Linked DNA regions of Schizosaccharomyces pombe. Changing the gene in region 3 together with the main gene of any one other region gives a genetic interaction. Each region holds a gene or a part of one and is shown on either strand. Other genes may lie near its edges.

Region 1 (7,794 bases), on a different chromosome or scaffold from region 3:
TTCATGTCCGACATAAAAAAAAAGAAAAGCTGTGTTTCATTTTGATCCGTTTAATGCTTTATTTTTTCATTCCCTTTGCTTTTGCTACCGAAACTGTCGGCAAACACCACCGTTCATTTCATATTCGTCATTTACCGAATTTTTTTTCATCCCGCAAATCGTCGATCTCATAATTATCGGGTAGCGTTTGAACGATTAAAAACATATAAGCATCATCCCAAATCGATTTAAGCATTAAACACTACACCCTAATCTTGTCCTACAAACATACTATAAAATCAATGCGACAATACAAACACTTTACAGTACAGTGACTTTTTGTGAGCTCGTCACAATTCCCGCAGGCGGGCATTACCCTCATTTCTTCCCGAATATACTTTGATTACACTAATAACTATTTACAAATAAATTGATCAAATTTCTTATTGACCACAAATTCTAAACATGAAAACTTTAACGAATGTAGTGAAAACAAGTAAATGTACATACCAAACAAAAGTGTAAAATAAAATAAAACAAAAAGTTCTTTTAAGGCCCAATCAGTTAAAATGGCACAGAACCAGAAGATACAGTACAAGTTTCATTAGCTCCTGACCTTGCCTTGCATTTTCATAGAAAGTAAGTCTAATCAACCGTGAGGTTATAATCATTAAGAACTGGGTACCGGGTCTGCTCTATTAGTATTTTTTTTCCCGTGACGTCTCATATAATCCTCTTCTTCCCGGTCAAAGTTTTTATCCGAAGGCATTAGCACCTAAAGTAAATAAACCGTTAGTAGATTCATTTTTAAGTGTATCTTCTAACTATAGAAAGAAGGTGTGTTGCGATGAAAATAAAAACCTTTCTCAATTATAAGGTTTTGTCATTGCTAAATGGATTTTTTGAACACATCAAAACTGCACATCTCATGACATTTCAAAATCATCTGCTAACACCCTTTAAATCGTGTTTAGTTCAAACTTACTGCTCTATCTAATGCACTTGGAAGTCCTGTTTTTTTAAAATCGTTAATACCCTTCTCTCTTGATAACATCTTAGTGACTCACCTCTATGTCGTCCACGAATCTAAACCATTATTAGACACTGATATTTTTGCAAAAAAGCCAGAAAAGGAAATAGTTGTAGCACCTTAACCTTCTTAGCACAAAACATTTAACGTACCTGTAGTGCAACCATAACAAGTTTGCTAATTTTCCGAAACTGAGCCGTAAGCGAAGGATCATTTTTGTACCCTTTTATGAGTTAATACAGCACATGGGAAAGCCACAATTGTATAACTTAAAACAAGCGAACATGCACATACCTAAGCTTAGGCCCACAGTGCCATAGCCTGAAATCACCTCGAATAAAATAGCAAAAAGCGTAAATTGCTATTCCGTTAATTAATAAGTTATTTGCTTAGCACTTTCAACGTACCGGTTCCGCTTCCGACTCTAATCGACGACCTTCGACTATAGTAATTATGAAGTAGCCTAGGAATAAATACCACAAATCGTGACTCAGTTGCCTTTGTATATGGTCCATCAAAAAATTTTTCCTTTTCGGCGTATTATTATCATTATTATTATTATTAATATTATTATCATCATCATTTTCGGTGTCTGCTGCATATATTCCAAGAGAACGTTCCTAAAAAGCTATTTAGTTTAAAGTCTACTAAAGTTTCGCATTTACCTCGTAAACATTAGTTCTAGTCCATTGTTAGTATATCAATTATATAATAAAGTAAACGTACTGTCGAATACTCATTGCGATCTAATGATCAGTCAGTATTTTGCTTGTTCATGCAAGTCCTTACTGGCTAAATTAAACGTTAGCATAAAACTCTTTAAATCGAAATATACTTACATAGGCAGAGATATACATCATAAACATGTAGGTCACCATTACTGCCGGAGCAATTTGGCTTAAATCAACCACCGTAAAGCCAGCAGAACGTGTAGCTGCGTTTTGAAATATAGCATTCATAATTCGATAACCAACTGGAATTTTGTCAACATATGAATTACCCAAGTCTAAAACCATAAAAAAGAAAAAGGAAGCAAAATTCAATAAAGTTAAATTTAAAAAAAGCACCCAAGTAGTTTTTGAAGGAAACAGAAGAGTAAAACTTCGTCGAGGGTGTTCGAAAAGAAAGTACAAAGCTTGCTGGAAATTAGGCGAAAATCTCGTTGTTCGTATCATAATCCAAATTATAAACCGGAGCATAATTGGAAAGAAAGTATTCCCTAAAAATATCAGAATAGTTCCAAGAACCTGAGGAAATATGGCTTTTTGAAAGGAATTTAAAGAATCGCTGTTCAACGAATAGCCTAGATTATCAAACAGCGAACTAGAAGTAAACGCTGCCCACCAGCCTCTATTTATACCGCCGTCCGTAACTACACGACCGGATGTTTTAGCAGTATAAATGAATATTAGGAACGCAACCAAACCAAGAATATGCCAAAACAGAAAATAAACCACTAATATGACAGTCAATATCCTGAGAGATTCATATTCAATTCCCGCCAATTCTTCTCTCTCCACTGGAGTTAAGGCATAAAATGCAGAATTTCTGCCCACTGTTGCATTGTACGATAAATAAGGTAAACTCATTGTGCTAGCTTTCGTGTGAGTACGGTTGAATGTGAGTCTTCGAGGAAGAGCAGATGTAAATGATTTGGCTAATTGAAATGGTAGGACAGACATTGAGCGCTCATTCCTGTGAAGTGTAGGTGTAACAGCAAATGATTTACCACGTTTTCTACCTCGTCCATCAAGTCGATGAGCACCTTTTTCCTGCTCAGCTCCATTCGTGTCATCTAAAGGTCAATATTAAAATCACGGAATGACTTACCAGCAAAATATATAGGCCTGCGATTATGCCTGGGAACAGGGGTTGGTGCAATGGTAATTGCAGAGCCGCGTACTACATTTTGATGTGCATCGTTAGTAGTTGCAGCAGCCTGATGATCAAAATTCGAATTTTGAGGTGAATAAGATGCTACATGTGGATCATTGTCAACTCTTGTTGTGCTGTAGTTTGAGTTTGAGGATGAAACAGTTTCCTGATTACCATCATTTGCAGTTTCTAGGGAAGGATTGTGCGAAGAGATAGAACTGTTGTTATCCAGATGATGGTTCAGTTGTGTTTGATTCTCGTGGTCATGTACTTGAGGCTCAAAATCCTCAGGAATTGTTTGAAAAGATGATTCTTCAAACGAACTAGGAATGTAAAAGTCGACAGGATTATTTCTAGCATTGTTTTGTACAACGGATAAAGATCCATTGTCGATTGATGCCATTCTTCGTTTCCCAAGAGCTGGACTTAATGCTTCAGTTCTGTCTTCATTTTCTTGAGAATTTCTAACACCTGCATAACTAGGGAGAGCGGGCATGGTATTCCCGCGAAAGAAGCTTGGGCGATCGATTGCATTAGCAAATTTCCTTAGACGAAAATGGTGCCTGTGATGTTTTTCATTCTCTTGGTGTTCAGCTTCCTCAGCCTTAGTCTCTGGGGCAACTGGCCGGTGCATTTGATTACCCTGGTCTAACAAAACCCGAATTTTTCGATTGCCAACTTTGGAAGGCTCTGGAGTATCCCTTCTTCTTACAGTGTGATAAGTATATGTCATCCTAAGTTTATTATTTGTTATGACCATGTCATATCGCTTGTTATAGAAGTACAGCTTAAACAAAGTCAAGCCCAGGTTCACAGTAATTGGTGTACTCAAAACTCCAAAAAGGAGAATAGTTAACTAAAAAATAGTTAAAAAATTTATTTAAAAATATGCATACCTGTTGGTAAATGGATATCTGCGTGAGGTCCACAGGCTGCAAGCCAGTCTGAGTACAAGAACCAGAAGCCAACAACAAAGCATCTATGTAGCGCAAATTTCCCGACCCATACAATATTACTGAACATAAAATAGTCATTCCTATTATAAAAGAATCTTGAACAAAGTTAGGCTTGAAAAGAAGTTTTTCACATACAATGGTATTCAAGGAACCGGAACCGTTTGTAGAAAAACCCGATAACTGCATGATAAAATCTGTATAATATTTTCCTTCTTAAAAACCTTCTATATCGTACAAACATGTCATAGTTTATAAAGCAGTATTATATTGTATTTGATAAAAATTACACTCACGTCGATTTCAAATAGCTTCAGTGGCTTCTTGAATAGTGCAGTTTTGCGTCCTCACTATACGATTCACCTTGAACATAGCAACAACTAAACAACATCTGACAGTAATCGTTCTGTGCTTTTTTACAGCTGTGTCCAAAATCTCGTAGTGTATCAAGTTTGGTTTCAAAGATTTATTAAAAAGTATCTGCATGGACCGAACTTTGTTATGGAAGACGGTTTTGAAAAGTCGCTCAGCAGCTCTATAGAGCTACTGAAAGCTGAAAGTACAGGTATATAAATTTTTGTAGATATTTTGATTCATTTTTTTATTTTATACTAACTTTTTTTAAGAAATAGAAGAAAAAATCAAACTAACTAAAATTTTAATTACTAAGGTTTCTAGCATATCTTCAGACGCCTCGCAGCTGTATGCAGAATTAATTCCACTACTCTTGGATTTTTTACGAAATACAGAGGTGAATCTTTATAGAAATTCTTCTGTCAATGAACTCAAGATCGAAGCATTGACTTTAATACAAAGTTGCGCTCACCGTGATGAATTTAAACAATATGCGCAGTCTTGTGTGCTTTCGTTCATTAGCTTGATTAAAGCAGATAATGAAGAAGTCGCTGTTTTTTGCTTAAAAGTTATTATGGATATATTCAAAACTTTTAAGTTTTGTATAGAAAGCACTGCACAACCCTTTTTTGACTTGGTACTTGAGCTTTCTACAAACCTTCCTTATTTAATTCCCTCAATATTTGTCGAGAATCCAAAATCAAATGAAGAGGAAAATACAACCCTGGCTTTTGGTAGTTATCTGTCTACGGAAACTTCAATCATCCAACAGCGTGTCAATTCTTTAGCTATTTCTACTCAACCTTTGGAACTGGCTTCTCAAAGTTTCCGCGTGTATGTAGAGTGTCCGGTCATTATAGTTTTGATTCTTCAAGCATATCGTCAAGCTGCTTTCCCTGGTGTTCAAGCCATAATTCCCTGTTTTCTTAAGATGGTACAAATTGATGTTCCAATAGACATCGCTTCATATGCAATGATTGAAAAAGATTCAAGCATTGACTTTATTGAGTTTATAAGGAATAAATATCAGTACCGTAATTTTTTTATGGCTCAAGTAAAGACTTTATCTTTCTTGGCTTATATTTTACGAACTCATCCCAATACACTTTCTGAGAAGGATATAATACCGGACATTGTAATAAAGCTTTTGAGGCGATGCCCTTTTGATATGTGTTTTGCCCGTAAAGAACTGCTGGTTGCTACGAGACATATTCTGTCAACAAACTTAAAATCTCTTTTTGTCAAAAAGCTGGATTTTTTGTTAGATTTAAATATATTATTAGGAAATGGAGTTGGTACTCAAAAGCTGTTACGTCCCTTGGCATTTAGTACATTAGCTGACTTACTTCATCATGTACGTGACGAACTTAACGAAACGCAAATAAGAAAATCTATAATGATTTATTCGACCAATATGCATGATTTGACTCTTAGCATTGGGTTACAGACTATGGGTGCCCGGCTCATTTTAAACATGGTTGACAGAATGATTAGTCTTCCTAGCATCCCCGATGCTATATTTCTTCTTTTATCTATTTTTGATAGCTTTGTAAATAAGTTTTCGGAACTTAATGATAGTTTGGATCAGTTTTTTAAGAAAAAGTATGAAGAAGAAATTAAAGAGACAAAGTCACCGACGCGTTCTTCTCCTAGGGATTTATCTTCATTTAGCACTTCCGTCAATGATGGATCATTTCTTTTTAAAAACTTGATGTTTGGCTTACGGGCTCTTATGTATGGGCTTCGTACATGCAAGTCTCGATGCATAGAAATTGGAGGTGAACAATTTTCGGGATTCCTTACGAATATCAAGCCTTTCGAAGCTGTTACGTTTCAGAAGCTTTTTTTTGAGGTTGGCAAAGGATTCTCATATTTTCGACCTGAGCAAGTCTATTTAGAAACTTTTTTCTGCTGCGAAGAAGAAAGTTTAGATCGCCCTGCTATATCTACGCTTCCTCGTAACAAAGACGAGAAAGATTGTCTTGAAGTATTTGCTACCATTTTTATACATCTCGAGCCATCTATATTTCTTAAAGTTTTTGAAACAAACCTTCCTACTTTTTTTGATCAACTTAAAAAAAATCTCACATTATTTCACATTCCACAGTTTTTGCTTTCAAATGAGAGCACATCATCAAAATTTTTAAATATTTTACTTCGATTTCTGCTTTCCAGAATTGAGGAACTCGGATCTTCTGACATCAGGCATGGTTCTGTCTTGTTGCGTTTGTTTCGTCTTTCTTTCGTTACAGTCTCAATGTTTGCAACAGAGAATGAGCCAGTTCTTCGGCCTTATGTATCTGAAATTATTGTGAAATGTATGAAGTTGGCTCCCAATTCTGCTAATTCATTGAACTACTATTATCTATTAAGAGCGTTGTTCCGAGGAATTGGTGGGGGAAGATTTGAAAGCCTTTATAAAGAAGTAATGCCTTTGTTGCACGCTCTATTAGAGGCATTTAATTCATTGCTTATATCTGCCCGTACTCCGAAGGAGAAAGACCTTTTTACCGAACTTTGTCTTACTATTCCTGTAAGGCTTAGTCTTTTATTACCATACATGAGTTATCTAATGAGACCTCTCGTCATGTCTTTAAAAAGCAGTCAAGAATTAGTTAGTCAGGGATTACGAACCTTTGAATTATGCTTGGATAATCTCACTCCTGATTTTTTGGATCCGATAATGGCTCCTTACATAGAAGATCTAATGAATGCTTTATGGAGTCATCTACAACCTCTTCCTTATAATTATAATCACAGCCATACTGCCTTGAAAATACTTGGTAAACTTGGTGGAAGAAATAGGAAGCTTCTTGATAGAGTCCAGAGTTTAAAGAATTCGCCGGAACCGAATAACGATTTTACTTTACTTCTTTCGATAAAAGGGGTTAAACAACCACAACTTTTACATTACACCCAATATGTTGATGAGGCTGTGAATTTGCTTTCTAGCCCTTCTAGTGATCTGGAGGTTAAGCAACAAGCGTTCACTTATGTTTGCAATATTTCAAAGCTCTATGTTTATAAGAGTGACGCTACTAACAGCTTAGCCTCATCCATTCGATGTACTGCAGACAAGATTTCTAAGAGTAATTTTGATTTTCGACGACCATATTCTGTAATACCGAGCCGAATGACTGGAAGGAGTTCATTCACCCAACTGAGTGATGATTCAGATGAAACCATAATTTTGGCCTCGGCTACATATGGACTTTTTTTTGCTACGACGGTTGATGAACTCCGCGAAGAAGCTTACTTCTGGCTTGAAAAACTGGCGGTCAACGTAATTGTACACGATATTTTTTATGCTTTTGACGTTATTCAAGGAAATCATTCAAAATTTACGACTAATTTGCAAAAGGAGGTTATTATTAGTCCTCATTATTTTGCTCATTGTCTATCAGAAGTCGTTTGTAATGACAATAGCAAGATGGGTGATGCTGTGAAACATGTACTTAAATTTATGTTTAGTTTTTTAGAATCGATTTTTGAAAATCCAGAAAGGGCTTTTATCCTTCCAATTTTTGAGGTCTTATTATCTGATTTCCGGCACAAATGTTATGACCCTCATTGGTATAAAAAATACGGAGGCTGTTTTGGATT
Region 2 (5,162 bases), on a different chromosome or scaffold from region 3:
AATTGTTCCAGGACAGTGACTTTTTACAGCAACTGAAAAGGAAGCAATAGTAAAATATCAGGTTAATAGGTTCATCATTGCTCAAACATTAGTCTATCAATCAGACAGTAACTTAATAAAAAAATCCAGTGAGCGATTTATACAGGTGAATTTTAAATGCCACAATTTCGTTATTCTTTATAGCAGACGAATCATGAAAGCGCAGTTTTTTCTGCTTCGGCGTCATCGGCTGATGCAACTGGTGAACCGCTTTTCTCGGTCCTCTGCATAGCTCTTTGTTGAACTTGCTCTTGATAAGTATTAGAAAATCTATCTGTAGCTAAATCAACCAGATTGTTAGTGGCCCGTTCCAAAACCATCTTCGCAGGCCAAATTAAGCCAGAAATATATAAACCATAAACCACAGTACCTCCAAACATAAGGATCATAAAAACGAATGGATTGCGGAGAATAGCCATAAATTCATTCCAACCAAGGACTATTAGCAATACCCAAAAGTATGGGGGGATTCTGGTGGTTGTATTGATTACGGAACGTTTGCAGTCCATAAATATCAAATCCGCAGATCTCTTGAAATTAACAGATATGTCGGACACACGTCTACGATTTAGAATAGTAAAAAATGAAGCTGGCGAGGTATACTCTGGCTCCAAAGTCTTTATGTCAACGTTCAAGTCCGGATAATTGCCATCCGAAACTTTAATAGAGGCCAAAACGTTGATCAAGTCTAACGTTTTGGTTAAACTTTCCCGATAATCACGGTCAATCGTTCCCGACTTCTTCCACAATTTTGGCATCCCATCACTGTCATATCGAAATAGTTCTTCAAAATAAACTCGTAAACGCTGCTGTAGTAAAACCTCGCTCATTTCAGAATCAATTTTCTTTCTAAAAAACAGCCAACTGTTCTTTTTAAAATTGATAATATATTCTTCCGTTGTTTTAGTATCATCAATATCCACATAAAAAGGAACAATATTTTTTATTTTTTCAATAGTAGTATTTTGAGCAGCTAAGAATTCATTGAGAAGCGTATCCCAAACGTTATGAGAAAGTTTTTGGAAAGCGACCTCAACAGCTTCCGAAACTTCAAACTCGAACCCAGTAAACAACTCTTCCAACTTCTCTTTCAACTTTTCCTTACAAAGCGTTTCGGAATTTTGGGTTAACTCTTCCGATAATTTTAGAATAAATGGATCAACATCCCAGTGAACATGTGGTAAAGACAAAGATTCACCTTCCTCACGCATTTTGTTGACAAGTTCGTTAATTTTAATAGAAGATGATTCTTTAAAAGGCGTATCAGAGGGAAATTCATTTGAGGCGTCAAAAAATGATTTAATAAGCTCCTTGTGTAGAGCGTTCAACTGGGCTTGGAAAAATACATAAAGATGAGAATCTACCGAAGCAATAAGCTCCTGCTTTTTCTTTTGATAGATATGCACGTTGTATCTACTAGCCTGTCGATCATAAGCTTCGATAACAGTTTCAAACATGTTTAAGAGCTTGGTAGGAAGGTCCTTGCATAAATTACCGGGTAAAAACTCTTTTTGTAAAATAGTACAAGCAGTAGAAAAAGGTTCCATTACTTCAGTAATAATCTCATCGCAACGATATTGAGCAAGCAATTGCTGTTGTGTAGGTAAATCAAGGTCCTTGTTGTTTTCAATGGTGTCCCATATCTCACGAGTATAAAGAGAAAAACCATCAGCGGGGATTTTTTTATGATAACTCACATTAAATATGTAATCAGAATTATTGTTATCCACAAATCTTTCACGCAAACTATCAACAGCTTCACTGAAAGCATCAGAACATAAAATCTTATGTGGTAAACCAGTGAAGCCAACATCAAAAAAGTCATTAATTACGGAATTTTCGAATCCTTCTGGTTTCGAAAGGGATGCCCAAATGTTATTCAAATCGGTCATAATAGTATCTGCTAAATTTTCCATTGAAGTATTTCCCAAAAAATCCCGAATAACAAATTGAAGCAAGCACCTTTCTTTTTTGTTATGAAAAAGTTGTAAATTGACTTCTAGTACTGTTTTAAGTAATGCCATGTTTGAGCCTTGGTATAGACCAACCTGATTTTCCCACATATTAACGATAATTACTTCACTAGTTGAAATGGAAAATAAAGCTGATTTTCTTTCAAAATCCTAGGTTGGTTAGTAATGACTCCAAAAGAAAATATTGATCAATTATGAGTAAAGGAAATACTAATGTGTAACTAATAGTAACAAATTAGTTCGCATTAAAATCTTACCTGATCTTCACCGCGCTCTCTACCATCGGTGCCTTCTACATCCATTACAAGAATAGGCGAATTGTTTGCCTTCGACAACCAAATACCTAACAAAAATTAGCAGCAAGCTCAGATGTTTTAATTAAAAAGAAATAATAGATTTACCTTTAGTAGTTTGTTGCCTTTTGGAAGCATCCATTACTGAAAATGAAGTCCCAAATAAATTATTTAGCAATGTACCTAATCATAGAGTTAATCAAATTTGCTCAGTGAAAGCTTTAAGTATCCAATTTAAAAGGATGTTATAACATTGGTTGGATATAGAACTCTCAAGTTGATTTTAATCTACTTACTCTTGCCAGTAGATTGGGAACCCAAAACGGCAACAACATGATAGTTGAAACCAGCATCTAACAGTCCTACGCTTTGCATAAACTTTGGTAATTCATTGTTGAATTGTTTATGTTCATCCACAATTTGTGTGGAAACCCTATTGGAAGCAGTACTCATGTTTTGGTGTAAGCGGAAGACAAGTTAACAAACATATAAGGTAGTGTGATGTCGAGGATGTAATATATCCTGACAACATTTTCAGTATTCATTAACAAATATATAACTATTTAAGTTAAATTATTGTAAAAAGACAGGTTTTGCATAATTTTGTTTATATAAATATCATGAAACAGATGATACTTTTCCTATAGTAAACTAGCAATGGCATAACAACACTCGTTAGCTCTTCCTTTCTAATGTTTACTAAGTTACTCTGCGAATGTTCAGATGTTTGTCTGTTAGCTCCATATATTTTCTTGTTAAAATTATGATTTTTAAAGAAAGAAAATACCAAGGATTTAGTTGAAGAAAGGAATGTATTTTAAAGAGTCATTCGGCCATTGTTTTGAATCTTTTCACAATGGTCTTCAAAGACTTATCGCATTTACAGACAGGAAATTTGTGCTTTTCTAAAAAGGAAACAGATTTGTATGTTTACAGAGAACAGTACTTAATAATAGGTATTAGATGCAAAATCAAGAGTGTAGCTTAAACGTTTCTCAAAAGCGCTTCGTAGTATTCGACGATATCGGTTTCATTCAATTTGTGAAGTGTTTTTGACGTTGCCGAATATGCTAAAAAAGTACAAACATACTATAATATAGCCCTTCGCAAGGTTGGAAATTATTTAATTTAATAAAATTTCTAGCATAGCTTTAGGAATCGAATTCTTTGTACTAATGTCTCACTATCCTATGCAACCTTCTTTCATTGACACGATGCGCAATTCAACCCATCGTTATGAGTACTTTATATAGGTGCGTAAAATAGTTAAAATCCTTTCTCATGGATTTTCTTCCTTAGTTTAGCTAAGAACAAAGGAGAATGGCTTGGGGAAAACGCGTTGTCTCCGCCACGCGTAAATATTATATATAAATGTTTGATGCTACATCGCGCTTTTACTATTTTCCTCACACATCGCAATTGTAGCAAATGGCTAAGGCGAAAGAAGTAAAAGCGAAACCTATTAAAGGAGAGGAAGGTATAATATTGACAAAAGGCATTGGTATTCAGCTAATCAATCGCAGCTGAAAAACTTGTTTACGAGTATTTACGAAAAACGAATCGTCCCTATTCTGCAAGTAAGAACATACATTAAAAAAATCGAAGCTGACAATTTTGTTAAAAGCTGACGTTAGTGCTAATTTGAAAAATGTTGTCAGTAAACAGGTCGCGCAGAAAGCATTGGAGCAGCTACGCGACACTGGACTAATCCATGGGAAACTATATGGTACTGAAAAATTAGTTAAACAGATTACTAACGATTACTGAGGAAAACAAAGTGTGTTCGTTTGTCTTCAAGATGACTTGGCAGCTGCTACTCCTGAAGAATTGGCTGAAATGGAGAAGCAAATTCAAGAACTAAAAGATGAGGTTTCAGTTGTTAAAACTCTATACAAAGAGAAATGCATTGGTCAGTAAATAAATGCTATTCTTTAAAATGTAGAATGATACTTCACATAATATGCATGATTTAAAACAGATCAAAGTTTTATTGATGGTATCGTTCATTTGTTTTGAGCGTACACAGCACTTGTTTTATGCTAACTCTAAAAGAATTACAAGCTTTAAATAACTCACTCAGTCCAGCCGAAATTCGTGAAAAAATTCAGAGCATTGATAAAGAAATTGAAGAAACCAGCTCAAAACTCGAATCTCTTCGAAATGGTACCGTTAAACAAATTTCCAAGGAAGCAATGCAAAAGACTGATAAAAACTACGATTTTGCAAAAAAAGGATTCTCAAACAGAAAGAAAATGTTTTATGATTTATGGCATTTAATTACTGATTCCTTGGAAAACCCTAAGCAGTTATGGGAAAAACTGGGATTTGAAACGGAGGGACCAATTGACTTAAACTAAAAACTTAACTTTAAATTTAGCTGATCCCTTTTTAACATTTTAATCATTAAATTTATATAGCTCAAAGAAAAGTCATTATCCATAGTTAAATATAAATACCTTAGCAGACAACTGCTCTAATATGTGCTTGCATTGCTGCACAACATTACCTGTCCTCTTGCTATACTGTGTGGTTATGACTAGTGCTTCTTACGTCGTGATAGCTTTGATTTTTTGGTTAAAGTAGAAAGCCTAGTGAAAGCATTAGATTTTGCAATTTAAGCTAATGTCTAATGCACCATCAAATACGCCAACAGGGTTTAATTATAAACCTGGGCATACTTTGTATATTCGAAATTTCGGAACGGATATGAGAGCCCGGACACTAGGCCAGGCCTTTGAAAAGTAATTGTTATTGAATGACTGATTGTAGATTACAACTTTGGTTTTCAGTCAAGTGATCTCTATTTTTGTATCGCATCTGTTCTAATTGATGATAATAGATGGGGTAGAATAGTTCG
Region 3 (6,958 bases):
ACAGAACTTTCATCGACGTAGGAAGAGCCTTCAACAACCGTACCGTCTACAGGGATTATTTCGCCAGGCTTGACTAGAATGAGGTCTCCACGCTCGATGAGATCAGCTAAGATCTCAATTTGTTCATTGTCTTCTATTATCGTTGCACTGGAAGGAGCAAGGCTCAACAGTTGAGAAAGAGCAGCTGATGTAGAACCTTTAGCTTTACTTTCCAAATAACGACCTAACGTAACAAACGTCAATAGCATATCAGCGGTATCAAAAAATATAGGAGCAGGATTATCAGCATGTCTAGCGCTGTAGAGAATCATGAAAAAGATACTGGCAGCGAAGGCTACAGTGGAGCCCAAAGATACTAAAACATCCATATTGGCTGTTCCTCTTTTCAGTGCATGATATGCGGCAGAATAGTAGACCCTTCCAACACCAAACTGGACGGGAAGGGATAATACTAGGCTGATGATGTGGCCAGCACATATACCAAAATAATGGGGGACCAAAAAAGCAGCACGCATGGAATCACAAGAATCGAATATCTGGGGTAAAAACATCACCGCCAAAGAGAATGATATTGAAATAATAAATCGGATTTTCCATACTCTAATTTGACTCCCTCGTTGAAGTGACAGAATACGAGAGGTGGAGGAATCTACTGGTTGAAATGTACATTTGACACCCATAGATAATATTTCCTTCATGATGGAACGAGGGCCAGTAATCTCAGAATCATAAATGACACGTATAGCTGCATCCGGGGAGGAAGAGCAATTGACGGACAAAACGCCTTGCAGTTCATTGATATGATTATGTACTTTGGTCCATTGTTCCGCCTGCATAGGAGAAAGTAATAAATAATTAGCCATGACACCATGTTCACCCTCTGTTGAAGAAATCACAGACGCATCAAATCCACAATCTTCAATTTTCTCAGCGATCTGATCCGGTGAGATAATGCTAGGATCATGAACGGCAATAGCACGCTCAAGAAGCAACGATATAGTGAATTGTTCAATTCCTTCCACTCCTTCCAACATGGATTGGATAGAGGCCACACAACTGGTGCATGTCATACCCTGGACTGAAAGTGTAGTAGTATACATTTTAAGAAACTAAACAAAATTTTTAAAGGCAATCTAAATTATAAAAAGAAATAACGAAAAAGAAATAGTACAAGCCAATTAGAGATTAAATAAGGAAAATTAAGAGAAGCGAGTTACTGTATAGAAACGATAAATGTTGGAAATGTCGAAATAAATAGATAATAGTAAGGAACCCAAATCAAAGACAAGAGACGTAAAAAAAAAAAGAAACCCCCTCAAGTGAAGAAATAATCAAAATTTGACGATTAAAACCAATTACTTAATGTAAGTCAACAGCAAAAAGAGACAAGCCGATGATCAACAAAAGAAAATCAACATACAAAACTTTGGAAGGAAAAGAAAAATAACAAAAACGATACCAATGTTAAACAAAGCCAGCTAATAAAGTCTTTTTACACGCTTAGCAGTTAGCTGTTTTAGGTTGGGATACCACGAATTCAGAATTCGAATTCGCTTATTGTATCGTGATTTTCACCACAAAACGATTTAGAAAAAAATACAAAACAAAACGAATTCAACTTCAACAGACTACAGAAGAAGAGCAAATTATCAGCTGAACTTGTTAACAAAGTGTTAGTGAGTGTGTGGTAGATTACAAAAAGCACATGATGGCAGCGATATAAAACCGCAAAAACTCGCGCAAACTACGAAATATACAACTTGTAAAAATAATATTCAAATTGACATAATTATGTTTTAAATTCGAGGAGAATAAAAATCTTTGACAATAATCGATCGAAGCAGAGTACGACTTTTGGAACCGAGACGCATGCACAGTGCAAGCATATGATTCCACTCCCAATTGCTTAACAATGTGTAAAGACACTTCGGTAAAGCAAAATACAACAGTATGGCTAAGAACGTTATGTAAATATCGAAAATTGTAACGCAACATTCGATAAATGAGATTAAAACGGTAAACGTTAGAGCATGTCTTCTAATACCTTATCAAAGAATAAGGGAACGAAGCGTACATGGGTAAATTGTTGACCCATTCTAAACGATAAATAATAAATGGGACACCCAATAAAATAATTCAATGGATTTTGTCTTGGAAGAATTATTAATTCAAGTCGACATAAGGACCTTAACAAGAGCTGCCACAAACTTGAATAGTCTTCTAACCACTCCCACTAGAAAAATTATCGTTGAAGGTAAACATAAACATACTGTGCAAGCGCTAAACAGATTTACACAGATAAATTGAGAGGATCAATCAAGCCAGAAATCAAGAAAAGAGCAAAGATCAACTGCAGAATATCAATTGGCAGTTTTGGGGTTTGAACTGGTAAGTTTCAAGCCCAAAACTTACTAGATGACGGATTAAGGAGAATAAAAAAGAAAAAGGAAAGGAATAATCATTATGAAAAAATAAGTGGGGTTATATGGGTTTGCATGGAAAGAAGCTTAAGATTTCCAAAGCTTTTTAATACCCTCCGTAAGGCCAATATCATTCGTGTTGAACTCATAGACGCCAATAAGTGTAAGAACAGTACATCCACGTAAGATCCAGTGCATCAAAGGAGATAACTTCTTAAATCTTCTTGCAGGGAAGTAGTCAATCACACAAGATTCAAACCCCAAGTGGGCATGCGTAATCAAGGTGCAAGCCAATGCAGCGTCCATTAAGGGATGAGAAGTTCCGGTGAACAAAGGGATCATGACTTGAGGAACCATGGCAATAGCAATAATTCTTTCAAAGTCCCAATGATAGCTTCCGTGGAGCTTACTGTGGTGAGGGAAAACAGCAGCATCATTAACAGTTCCCTTAATGGTCTGAGGGGGAGGAGGGAAAATTTTCGCAACACTGGTTGTGCTAAAAGATTTAACTGCAAAAAGAAGACGTCCTTGACGAAGTGCTCCAAGTCCTAAACGTGTTTGTAACATATTGTTTGTAAACCAAGAAAAGCTGGTGGTGGTAGTAGGTGAGTTCGTATTGGCGGATCTTGTGTCCACATTATTGGCCATTCAACAGCTCGATGTGTTGAGCTTGGAGTGGCCGGAAATAGGCGATGAGAACCTAAATCTATCTACTCATAAACGAAAAATTGTATAACATAGAGTAAAGACTAGAAATTTAAATAGATATAATAGATTAATAAGTTTATTCAGAAGAATCTCCGGTCTTTAAGGTCGTTTCAAAACCTGGTTATTACTTTTTATAATAATATTATTCACTGCTGAAAACGAATTACCTTCTACATATAATATTACATGGGTTTTGTGGTGAGTTTGAATATCTATTATAATATTACACAGTACCAAAAGTTACTGCAGTTTCAAAAAAAATTTTACGGAAAGCACTACATTGTGAAAAAACAATAATCTACTGTAAATCTTTTTACTTAATAATATAATATAGATAAAGCTATAGAAATTTACTTGTAGCAATTATGCTAATATAAAGGTGCTGCATTGGCTTAAAAAAAGGTTAGAGAAACGGTTTTAAGAGGATGAAAATTTTATTTAAATTAATATCATTTATATAAAAAACTATTCTCATAAAAAGAAACCATCAAGCTACTCAATAGTCGATGTATAACAATGCTTGATTCGGTGCTAGTCAAAATTCTATAGTTGGACTGTTATTTTTTTAAAAATGTATTAACCGAAATATTGTAATGGAAATCATGGAAAAGAGAATTTCGTTAAGTATAAATAACCTTTTAATGTAGATGAATACGAACTTAACCTGATGAAGTGTCTTACCCTGTCTGATTCAATGTCATATAGATTCTTTTCAATATACCGATGAAACAATATATCCCCTACATAGTTTTTTACCAATGAGATTCTCCATGTTAAGTAGAGATATATTATATCATGAACTGGATTGTACGGTCATTCGTTTCCTTCCTTTATAGCAAATTGCGCACAGGGCAAAGACTAGGCAATCCGAAAGTTTCTGTTTGAATGGTCAACTTCTTATTTTTCTCTACATGGAAATTCTAGTAAGGGATTCAAGGATTGCTAGTTTTCTTTTTTTATTAAATGGGATCAATTGGTCATTTGCCGAAATTCGAACTTGGGACCTCGATAACACGTATTACGCTACACCTCTACGGAATACCTTCTTGCTACCTACTTACCCTTTACCATCCACAGAATCCCACCCAACCAAAGGAGCTTGAATTGATATTACTATGCTGAGGCTTCAGAATTTGCCAAAGCTAGTACGTCGTTTTGCGACTACTGCTTTACCAAAAACAGAAACCACTACTTTAAAAAATGGGCTTACAGTTGCTACGGAACATCATCCGTATGCCCAAACAGCGACCGTCCTTGTGGGCGTTGATGCTGGCTCAAGAGCTGAGACGGCAAAAAATAATGGCGCTGCTCACTTTTTGGAACATTTGGCGTTCAAAGGAACGAAAAATCGCTCCCAAAAAGCATTGGAATTGGAATTTGAAAATACTGGTGCACATTTGAACGCATACACCTCTCGTGAACAAACCGTTTATTATGCACATGCGTTCAAAAACGCTGTACCTAATGCAGTTGCCGTTTTGGCCGATATCCTGACAAATTCAAGCATTTCTGCCTCGGCGGTTGAGCGTGAACGCCAAGTCATCTTAAGAGAGCAAGAAGAGGTTGACAAAATGGCCGATGAAGTAGTCTTTGATCATTTACATGCTACCGCTTATCAGGGTCATCCTCTTGGACGTACAATTTTGGGTCCTAAGGAAAACATCGAATCTCTTACCCGTGAGGACCTTCTCCAGTATATTAAGGACAACTACCGTAGTGATAGAATGATTATCTCTTCTGCCGGTTCGATATCTCATGAGGAGCTTGTAAAGCTCGCCGAAAAATATTTTGGCCATTTGGAGCCTTCAGCTGAGCAATTGTCGCTTGGTGCTCCTCGTGGACTCAAACCTCGTTTCGTCGGGTCTGAAATCCGTGCTCGTGACGATGATTCACCAACTGCCAACATTGCCATTGCTGTTGAAGGTATGAGTTGGAAACACCCAGATTACTTTACTGCATTAGTCATGCAAGCCATCATTGGTAACTGGGACCGTGCTATGGGAGCATCTCCCCATTTGTCTTCTCGTCTTAGTACTATTGTTCAACAACATCAACTTGCCAATAGCTTCATGAGTTTCAGTACTAGTTATAGTGATACTGGACTTTGGGGTATTTATCTTGTCACTGAGAACCTTGGCCGTATTGATGATCTCGTCCACTTTACCCTCCAAAACTGGGCTCGTTTAACCGTTGCAACTCGTGCTGAGGTTGAACGTGCCAAGGCACAACTCCGTGCTTCGCTTTTACTTTCTTTGGATTCAACGACCGCCATTGCAGAGGACATTGGTCGCCAATTGCTTACAACTGGTCGTCGTATGAGCCCTCAAGAGGTTGATCTCCGTATCGGTCAAATCACTGAAAAAGATGTAGCCCGCGTTGCTTCCGAGATGATTTGGGACAAGGACATTGCTGTTTCTGCTGTTGGTTCCATTGAGGGTTTGTTGGACTACAACCGTATTCGTAGCAGTATTTCTATGAACCGTTGGTAAACGCATTTTCTTGGGACTTTTGACTATTGTCTATTATTTAATCTTAAGGCTCATCCTTTGCTATTGTTTGTTAACGCCTTTATGATTTCGTCTGCCTCTTCGCTCTCTTCAGATATATGAGCTGAATTCACCAATATACGTTGTTTACGTGTTGATCAGTACTATCACCGGTTGGATATGAAGCTGTTTGCACACAAGTAATATCATTTCAGTAGATGAGAGCATACCAGAGTTGTTTATAGTGCAAAGTCGGTTGCTTACTGCATCACCTTTGAAAACCCCCTTTCTTCAGAGTTAAACTTTTCTCTCATTTATTATCTGTCAAGGTGTATTGCTCGGACACTTCTTATACTGCCTTTGCATTCATTTTTGCTTGCAATTTATCCTCCCGTGATATTCCTTGTCATCTTATTTTTCTATCTCCCTTCTCATTTAGCAGTCTCTTGAAAATCTCTTTTACTTTCTTGCTTTCTTTCTAGCAACTATTCACTTTATCGCTGATTTAGCGGAAACCGCTTACTAACCTACCCATGTTTACAAATGAAACGGATTCGTTCGTGTTGTAAAATTTATCGACATAACTTTGAATGTTACAGAGTTAATCTGAATTCATTCTTCCTTTTTTGTACCTTTTTTCTTGGGCGCTTGCTCGTAATTAGCAACTTGCGTTAAAATTCATGTAGTAGTAAGTCGACTTGATAATGTAGTTATGTAGTTTTATTTTATAAAAATAGATTTTTGCGAATAATCGTCGAGCATTCCGTTCAATTCATTCAATCACTGCGAGGGTTTATCGGGTTAATCTTCTGTAAGGAATATCGGCTTTTATGGAGTTAAAAATTGGTATGAACATTTTCCATTTGCATAAGCGAAAAAAACACGAATGTTTGTTTATTGAAATCGTTCGCACGATAGTGGAAACCAAAACATATATGGCAAAAAGCCTACAGCACCCCGGATTCCCATGTTGTCTCCAACCATAGTACTAACGAGGCCCTCAGACGCTTAACTGCAGTGATCGGACGGGAACTGGTGTTTTCGCCTAGGTATGGCCGTAGACGTTTGTCAAAAAATTTAACAAGATATATAGTGTAAGAAAAGATAAGAGGTATTTTAAATTTTGTTAAAAGCTTCAACATGATTTTTGAAAGAATTTTCAATGAGCACAATAATAAAATAACTGGTAGTACTCGTTTAACTGTGTATATACAAAATATATTTACACAAAAATATATCCGGTCAGGGAGGGACTCGAACCCTCGACCTCACGATTAACAGTCGTGCGCAATAACCAACTATGCTACCCGACCTTGGATGTCTGTAGATATATTTTAAACATAT

The links. Genes that interact genetically often act in the same process or in processes that back each other up.
Region 1: mutations in tim18 (region 3) and trk2 together harm fitness less than expected from each alone (positive genetic interaction), as found in Schizosaccharomyces pombe (one large-scale study listed by BioGRID).
Region 2: mutations in tim18 (region 3) and meu13 together harm fitness more than expected from each alone (negative genetic interaction), as found in Schizosaccharomyces pombe (one large-scale study listed by BioGRID).

The regions. Positions count from the first base shown.
Region 1 is NC_003424.3:255,381-263,174, forward strand, and holds trk2 (plasma membrane potassium ion transmembrane transporter Trk2), read right to left. Parts: upstream 4,116-7,794; 5' UTR 4,082-4,115; coding exon 3,976-4,081; exon of another isoform or gene 3,936-3,975; coding exon 3,781-3,935; intron 3,741-3,780; coding exon 2,840-3,740; intron 2,805-2,839; coding exon 1,849-2,804; intron 1,802-1,848; coding exon 1,799-1,801; intron 1,756-1,798; coding exon 1,736-1,755; intron 1,691-1,735; coding exon 1,675-1,690; intron 1,630-1,674; coding exon 1,417-1,629; exon of another isoform or gene 1,371-1,416; coding exon 1,304-1,370; exon of another isoform or gene 1,233-1,303; coding exon 1,162-1,232; exon of another isoform or gene 1,066-1,161; coding exon 1,047-1,065; exon of another isoform or gene 991-1,046; coding exon 965-990; exon of another isoform or gene 755-964; coding exon 650-754; 3' UTR 501-649; downstream 1-500. Other genes in the region: phosphatidylinositol kinase-like protein Tra2, read left to right, coding at 4,339-4,402, 4,464-7,794.
Region 2 is NC_003424.3:973,976-979,137, forward strand, and holds meu13 (homologous-pairing protein 2), read left to right. Parts: upstream 1-3,733; coding exon 3,734-3,782; intron 3,783-3,828; coding exon 3,829-3,882; intron 3,883-3,929; coding exon 3,930-4,031; intron 4,032-4,073; coding exon 4,074-4,214; intron 4,215-4,302; exon of another isoform or gene 4,303-4,357; coding exon 4,358-4,662; downstream 4,663-5,162. Other genes in the region: GTP-binding protein Sey1, read right to left, coding at 192-2,162, 2,270-2,355, 2,414-2,488, 2,602-2,758; SPOM_SPAC222.18 (Srp1 family splicing factor), read left to right, coding at 4,928-5,046, 5,145-5,162. UniProt on the Schizosaccharomyces pombe protein: Required for proper homologous pairing and efficient cross-over and intragenic recombination during meiosis. Acts indirectly in a process facilitating homologous recombination. Acts during mid- to late-horse-tail period.
Region 3 is NC_003423.3:2,032,129-2,039,086, reverse strand, and holds tim18 (TIM22 inner membrane protein import complex and succinate dehydrogenase (SDH) anchor subunit Tim18), read right to left. Parts: upstream 3,028-6,958; 5' UTR 2,988-3,027; coding exon 2,508-2,987; downstream 1-2,507. Other genes in the region: Cu(2+) transporting ATPase Ccc2, read right to left, coding at 1-1,100; SPOM_SPBC29A3.21 (uncharacterized protein), read right to left, coding at 1,693-1,995; MPP complex beta subunit Qcr1, read left to right, coding at 4,244-5,617. UniProt on the Schizosaccharomyces pombe protein: Membrane-anchoring subunit of succinate dehydrogenase (SDH) that is involved in complex II of the mitochondrial electron transport chain and is responsible for transferring electrons from succinate to ubiquinone (coenzyme Q).